Linked DNA regions of Bombyx mori. The protein of the gene in region 2 interacts with the protein of the main gene of each other region in a pairwise test. Links are inferred from orthologs where the notes say so. Each region holds a gene or a part of one and is shown on either strand. Other genes may lie near its edges. The genes, in order: serine/threonine-protein kinase polo and hybrid signal transduction histidine kinase I.

The links.
Region 1: the proteins of hybrid signal transduction histidine kinase I (region 2) and serine/threonine-protein kinase polo interact in a two-hybrid assay, tested with the Drosophila melanogaster proteins (2 studies listed by BioGRID). The link is inferred for Bombyx mori from reciprocal best matches to the Drosophila melanogaster genes ko and polo.

Annotation. Positions count from the first base shown.
Region 1 is NC_085121.1:12,625,148-12,629,426, reverse strand, and holds the end of serine/threonine-protein kinase polo, read right to left. Parts: intron 3,722-4,279; coding exon 3,495-3,721; intron 2,892-3,494; coding exon 2,755-2,891; intron 2,170-2,754; coding exon 1,988-2,169; intron 1,516-1,987; coding exon 1,382-1,515; intron 1,220-1,381; coding exon 1,107-1,219; intron 1,009-1,106; coding exon 814-1,008; downstream 1-813. UniProt on the Drosophila melanogaster protein: May play a role in regulating both nuclear and cytoplasmic aspects of the mitotic cycle. Regulates localization of the augmin complex during mitosis by ensuring its location on mitotic spindles.
Region 2 is NC_085128.1:3,239,509-3,243,343, forward strand, and holds part of hybrid signal transduction histidine kinase I, read right to left. Parts: intron 1,359-3,835; coding exon 1,131-1,358; intron 574-1,130; coding exon 517-573; intron 1-516.

The DNA.
Region 1 (4,279 bases), on a different chromosome or scaffold from region 2:
TTTCTTTTCACGCATAACGAATTCTAACGACTAAATATTGAACACTTGCTGAATTACATTAATTTTATTTCATTACGAACATGAAACAATTTGTAATTGATGCTGTTGAAGCACAAAACAAAATGTTATAAAAATATAGTTATAAAACTAAATAACTCCAAACTTTCTTGATATCGCACCACAGCCCCTGTCAAAGGGCGCTTTTAAAATGGCAATCAAATTAAAATCTAAAATTAAATTTATTCTTCCATCAATTATTGTAGATGTTTAGAAATATGTAGATAGAAATCAAATCATTCCCTGAAATGGCAAAGTCAGTAAGTTTTGCATCAAATGGAATATAATATGTATTAACAACCAAAGACACATATTTAAAGAATAAAAAAAAAAGTCGAAAGTTTTGCTCATATACTGAATCGGCAAAATAATTTGATGCTAAATCATTAAAAAGTATTTACTAAATAAATAGACAGTATCGGTGGATTTTTAACCTAAGTTTGAAATTTTAGGGTACAAAATTGATTTTAGTGACCCTTCTATTAAATTATAATATACTGGTGACTATCCTAAAAATACAAAAGGTAATATAATTTTTATTTTAGAAAAGTAGGAGACCCTAGGAAATTTAAGTGTAAAGATTTTTTTTATCAAGTACAGACTATCTCAATCAATAAGAACAGAATGATGAAAATTTGTAGTGATTTCAAACTTTTTTGCTATTTACATAAGCAGGGTCTCTTGGTTTACACAGTTCTTCATTGGAGCTTTCCACAAAGCCCACAAATTCATTTACTCATTTAGGTTCAGTGAAAACTAGCACAGTTTGTTTGCCAATACACTGTTTAGTTTTTCCAATGCATATGTGAGGTTTGTGTAAAGCTTTTTATCACAGCCATGCTCTTCAATGGTATTAAAGCGGAATGTTCTGAAATTCTTCTCTATATCTATGTAGGTGACAGCTTGCATAAGTGGACACAGTATTATCTTTGTGTGATCTTGGAAGTTTATCTGTAATATTAGAAAAAAAAAACAATCATGATGAGAAAGAAATATAACAGATCAATAAAAATTATATGCCAACAGCATTAAAATATAATTCTACTAACCTGTAAAGTTCCATTAGTCAGGTACATAATAACAGCTAAAGTTGTTCGAAACCACTGGTGTAAATGTGGCAAACGAGACAGACCATCACTCTCTCGCACTGGTACTGAAGCACCTGGATAATGGTAAATTTATTTAAAAGCGATAACATTGTTGTTAAGTATGAATACATTAGTTACTCATGCCATAAGAAAACTATTGCTCACACATTTTGTTTTCTGAATATTCTATTTGATTTATATGCTTTAGTGATGACAATGGATGTTGAAAAATTTACCAGCTTTCATGAGATGTTCGGTCATGTATCGTCTAAAGTATGTAAGGAGTTTCATTTTTTTGTCGAGTTCTTGCGGGTAATCGCGCATCGTCATGTACTGCTCTTGGCCCTGCCGATTGATGTAGTGCACATTCCTGAAAAAGGATAGTTTATGCAGATCTCCTTTTATTTTTTCAGATAGCAATATGAAGATTTTGTTGCTTGCTAATCTGCACATTACAGTCATAATACAAAACAATTGAGAATCACGCCGCAAGGAATATGCTATTAACATATTATGATGTCTATGGATTCTTATCACTTGTATAAAAAAGTGTATTGCGAATTTTTTTTCTTCAAAATATGTTTAAAGTTTGTGTGAGCTATGATTTGATTCTAATTTTGAGTGTGCAATGCATTCGTTTTATGACATATTATACTTTGATTCTCATTATAAAGATATAAAAAAAAAAACTATTTTAAGCTTTAGTGATTCGAACGTGATTTCGAATTTTAGTGAGTTCGAAACTGTTGCAAGCGCCTGTTGTATACTACTATAATATAATATAATTAAAAATATGTATATCTGATATTATCATCTAATATTTATATTAAACGTAAACTTACAGTCCATTAGCGAGCATGATAAGCTTGGTAGTATCGTTGAACATGACACCGACGCTCTCGTCGCAGAGCTGGTATCCGAATCCGTATTTGTCGCTGTAGTCGACCCACTTGCCAACCCACACCAGCGGCTGTGCTGCGGGATCGCTCAGCTCGTCTGTCAGAGCCTCCGGTCGGCATTTCAGCTAAAAGTTATAGAAAATGCCAACATACAGTCAAACTAGTTGTTTATAATTAAGTTACAAAAGTTCCATAAGATGAAGAGTTTATCAATTTATTTCTACTTATGATAAGGTTATCAGCGTATACCAGTTCATAGCACGGTCCTGCCCTATTTCAAAACTAGAGCCTATTAAATGTTATTTAGACCATAGGTATTTTTTCTCATCTATACATATAAATAAAATTGGAGTGTCTATTTGTAATATTGAAATAACCGCTTTTTACTAAGCGCATAATATGAATATATATACGGTACATATACCAAAATAACATTTTTAACAATTTTTGTCGGTCTGTTTGTTCCGGCTAATCTCTGGAACGGCTAGACCATTTTGACGAGACTTTCACTGATAGGTAGCTGATGATATAAGGAGTAACTTAGGCTACTTTTTTAAGACTAGCTTCGCCCCGCGGCCTCACTCGCGGTACGACAATAACCGCGGGTAACATCGCGAGACTCAGCTATTAATTAATAATAAAATTTAATGTTTCCGAAGCGAAGCGAAGGCGGGTCGCTAGTATTAATATAAAAAAAAACTATATTTTACCTTGTTAACCAACAATGCAGCGAGCTGGTCTCGCAGTGCAATAAAATTCTGGCGGTGCGACGTTGGTTCCACAGCTCGTGGCCCCGCGGGGGTAGCTTCGCGTTTGACGGGCGAGTCCACTGCCATCGTCTCTTGTTCTATTCAATTGAAAGTACGTATTATAAATGTCAATTCATTTATGTTGAATTTTAAAGTAGCTAATTATAAAAGGAGAAAAATGCTGCTTTTTTGATTCTATGAAGATTTTGATGTGCATAAGTGCTCCTTAATGAATCTTCTATCTATCTATCTATATATATAAAAATGAATTGCTGTTCGTTAGTCTCGCTAAAACTCGAGAACGGCTTGACCGATTTGGCTAATTTTGGTCTAGAATTATTTGTGGAAGTCCAGAGAAGGTTTAAATATGAAAATGCTCAGAATTGAATAAAAATAACAATTTTGTTTTTCTTTGATGTGTACCCCGTCAAACGGATTCCTTTTGTTTGTTTTAAGTTTATTTTATGCAAAAGTTTAGGTCTTTTTTTTATTTATCGATTGAGGCACTACGAAGTCTGTCGGGTCATTAATAAAGATCCGCGCATATCCGACATATTCTTTAGTGTTCATCGTAACTGCGATGATATTTTACCATTTAAAACTATAATTTCTTTAATTATTATTGAACTCTCCCTCATCAATTTATGAGGGAGAAAGTCTCGAAGTCTAGCCTGCGATTAAATAAATTACAATATATGCACCGTTAGCATGAACTTCGTTAAGAGGGCGGCGGTGTACCAGCATGCCCTCGAGCTGGTCAGTGCGCGGCGCTGTGGTGAGGCAAGAGACGGGCAGCCCGGCTGGCAAAATCCCCGATGAGAAGAATTCATGCTGCAGAAGTTTGTCCACGGACGGACGACGCGCAGGGTTCGATTGCAACTGCAGTACAATCATGGACGCCGCCGGTTTGCGAAGCGACGACGGAATCCTGAAGATATATTTGATTGTTCGAGATCGACAAACGTGAAGACCAAGGGAATTGTTATATTAGAAGGCCAGAAGAACAGTAGTCATAGAGCTATACCAACAGGGATGTCAATTTTATAACACTAGGCCTGCACCAGACTACAACACGAATGATCACATTGTAGTCTGGTGCCTGGCTCTGGTTGACAATCGAGTGAAGTGTTGGCTCTAGTGACCAAATTTCTCAGTTAATAACAAAAAGTTACTTTAACTCTTAGAATTAGGAACTCTATATACAAATAGTATTATTTTCCTAATTCAGTTTCAACATATTATATAGTATAGTAAGTAGTACATAGTTTGTTTTATAATATTGCGTTATTAATAATTCCTAGTAATAATTTTAAACTTAGTGCTGTTTTAAATTTTAATGATTGAGATTGAAATACATTTAGATTCGAAATTAGAAACATTTTTTACATTACTAAGACTAAGTATGACTTGTGTTGTAAGTTAAGCAGACGTTAGAAATATCCACAATACATAAAGCTGCACATCATGATCACCCTTCACCCTAGTT
Region 2 (3,835 bases):
AAACGGCTCCAACGATTTTCATAAAATTTAGTATACAGGGGATTTCGGGGGCGATAAATCGATCTAACTACGATTTATTTTCAGAAAATGTTGTTTTATTCGTGTTTTCAATAATCAGCTTTATCGATAATCCACTTTATGACTCTTCCCGACATCTATTGGCGAATAAGAATACTATTTTTACTGCTTTAAAGACACGACAAGATAGCGTTATAAAAAAAAAAAAGCCGAGCAAAGCTCGGTCATTATCTAGTGACATACTTAAATCGGCATACCATTATTTGGATCGAAATTACGAATAAGAAATCTCATATTGAAATTTTGTTATAACTTAACTTAAAATTAGAATTATGAATAGAAATATAAAAATAGAATAGAATTTGTATAGTAGTAGTTTGCGAAGGCCACACCCGTAGGCGGGTAACCAATTTTGTTTCAAATCCGCTTAAACTTCGTTTTAAGCCAACGCATTAATAACTGGTTAAGTTCAGTTCAAAGCACGTCATGCATACTTACCTGCTATTTTAGCCAAGGGCGTACCTACACAAAAAGTGCATTTGATATTTGGTGAATCAGTAAATAAAATAAAGTTAATAAATATAACATTTCTATATACATAAATGTGTTATAAGAAATTATGCGTAACCAGTGACTTCGTTTGCTTAACTAAAAAATTAACTTATAAAGTTTTTTCAGAACATATAAAATACTATTTAAAATATTACCTAAGAAGTCGAAGATCAAAGCGCAAACTCAAGTTGAGGCTAAACATATCTTTAGATAAGTACTGAAAGAAATGTGACTGGTCGACTCGACTTGTGATCATTTAATTCAGTGTGTTTTTATGAACCTTTTATTCAATATTACCAACCTATCTAGCGAAAGTGATCCAAAGGGTCGCTGCATTCTTAAGAATCAATAGTGATTTAATACATAGGCACTTTTATAGGTTAATATCGCGTTTAATTCATAAATAATCAGTCGTCCTTTCCTAACACTTCGAAAAGCGGATTTTTTTTAAATGAATACAATAAACTAATTAGGAAATAGTCTACAATCATGCCGACGATTGAAGAAACTCCTAGAAAAAACCAATGAGGTTTGTATTATGTAGTTTTTAATTAACTTACTAGGCGACGCGGACTCAACACTAGGCGGATAATCGGTGGAAGAAGAGCTGTCAGTCGTATTAACGTGTTTGTGATGGAGACTCCTGGTAGAGGCGCAGCGCTGAAGGTACTTGCTGGAAGAGCCGAAGATGCGGAGAGAGTGCCGCCGGTCCAGAGATCTTGGGGCCGGGAAGGAAGCGCTGCGACGTTTGTTCGGTCGACCATATAAAACTTTGTCGTTTGGATTGCCTGAAAGTAATAATAAAAAATGTTAAATATGTAGAATGGGGATCGCAGCACATAAAGTAAAAGTTACACTGTTCCACACTCTTCTGTTATAATAATTGGTCACGCGGATTTAGTAATGGGATGCTAATGAATTATTGGGATGGCGCCACCTTTGGAGTTTGTCAGTAACTAATTACCGCGACTATCCAAAGCGTGGTTCTACCCGATCGATCACGCTTTACCGCTAGCTGCCTAGATGGCGGCACTTGTATATTGTGTGGTGCTTGAGCTTACGAAAAGCTACGTGAGCTTCGTCACCCCCTCCCGCCGCCCGCGTGCTTCCATCGCCGACGCCCGCACGACAGTCACTGGCAAGGTCTACAGGTGAGTGCAAGTTCTTTTAATTTATTGCCATTTTATTGCTGTTTCCGTGTAATCATTCGCCCGCCCGCTCGCTTATGTGTATTTAATTTATATCTTTAGTTTGATTACTAGCTTTTGTTTACCGCTATATAGTTTTACCGCTCCGCTAATTATAAGTGACAAACATTTGTCACATACCGCTTAGGACGGCTATTTACACGCCTTTCTACAACCCCGCTTTATATGCTCCCGCCGCAGGAGGGCTATTTACACGCCCCCTTGCTACCCCATAGTTTGGTCCTGCGAGCCTGGATTAGATCCAGCTTAAATTTTAATTAAAATTAGGATTAATTTATGATTACCCCCATTCGCCATTTTGTTACAGTATTGTATTGTATGTAAAAATTAATTACATTCATCGCTATTAGTAATAATAACTCGTAACCGCATATTGAATTATATTTATTAACGTAGTTCATTTAGTGTTATTTTTTAGTCAGTTATTTCATAACTTCATTATGGAAAATAGACAACTAAAGAAACTTATCGCGAAGAATAATTTAGTATTTGCACAAATTAATGATTTATATAATAAATCAAAAAATATTTCGGAGTTTGATTCGGAATTAATTGAAACTTTTCTTGCCGAATCAGAATCGATTGATGACATGCGTGTTAGATTTGAAAGCAATTTGGATGATATCAATGATTTAAATTTAAAGCAAAACCCCGAAGTTGAGCCTGAATATGCAGCTTTATCGTCTTTTGACACGTTATATAATTACGTAAGACGCGCTCGTAACAAAATTACAATTGGTAATTCGTCAAATGTAATGAGAACTACCGCCGCCATAAATGTAACATTGCCAACAATTTCACTTCCTTCCTTTGACGGACGCTCTCTTGAAGGATGGGAAACATTTTACCAGGCTTTTAAAGCTAACATCCACGATAACCCGCAACTGTCTGATGCGCAACGTGTGCAGTATTTAATGGGCAAATTAACACATAGTGCATTAAAGTTAACCGCTGGTATAATACCCACAGGTGAAACTTATAATATTATTTGGTCGAATCTAATTAGTAAATATCAGGATAAACGAGCTTTAGGATGTCATTATCTGAATAATATATTAGATTTAAAAAATTGTTCACCTACCGCAAATAGTTTAAATATGTATATTGAAAAAATTTCATCTTCGATTGCCGCTTTAAAACAATTAAATTTACTTGATTTGACTGATTTTATTTTATTACAATGCTCACTGAGAAGGTTGGATCCTCAAACTTTACATTCGTTTGAAGCATCGGTTCGTGGTATTGAAATACCCACAACTGAAATGTTTATTAAATTCATACAGGATCAGATAAAAATATTAGAACGCTCTGCACCGAAGTGTAACATAGAGAAATCTAAAAATCACAAATCGTTTATTTCTAGTAGTTATAATGACCCAGTCCGCACTGAAAGGGTTAACAAACCGGTTTCGTTATCTACGTGCGATCTTTGCTCGAGCTCGCACCACACGCAGTTATATCGTTGTAATGAATTTAAAAATATGATTTCACCGCAAGCACGTTATGATTTTATTAAATCGCACAAGGGTTGCATCAATTGTTTAAGCTTATCGCATACATTAAAAGCATGTCAATCAAAGTTAACATGCAATAATTGTAAGAAATATCATCATACTTTGTTGTGTTTTGGTAATAAACGGGCGAATCGAAAAGGTAAAAGCGTACCCAGTCCATCGAATGACTACGCTGATATGGACAGGCAGGTCAGTCGGTCGCAGGTACATGGAATTCCGAGTGATGCCGCGCGGCCCGATTACGGTCGGTCCCAGGTTCAATCTCAACCTGTTGTTCAGAGTTACGATCATCATGATGCCGCTTCGAATACTTGTTTACACTCTAACAGAACGATACAACAACAAAATAATACGACCGCTACCACGTTGACTCACAGTTCGGAAATAAAATCGAATAGTAATATTTTATTATCAACCGCTCAAATATACGCTCACTCGAATAAAGGGGAACGTAAAATAGTTAGATCTTTAATAGATAATGGTTCCCAAAATAATTTAATAACTGTCAATTGTTGTAAATTACTTAAATTACCGATTATACCT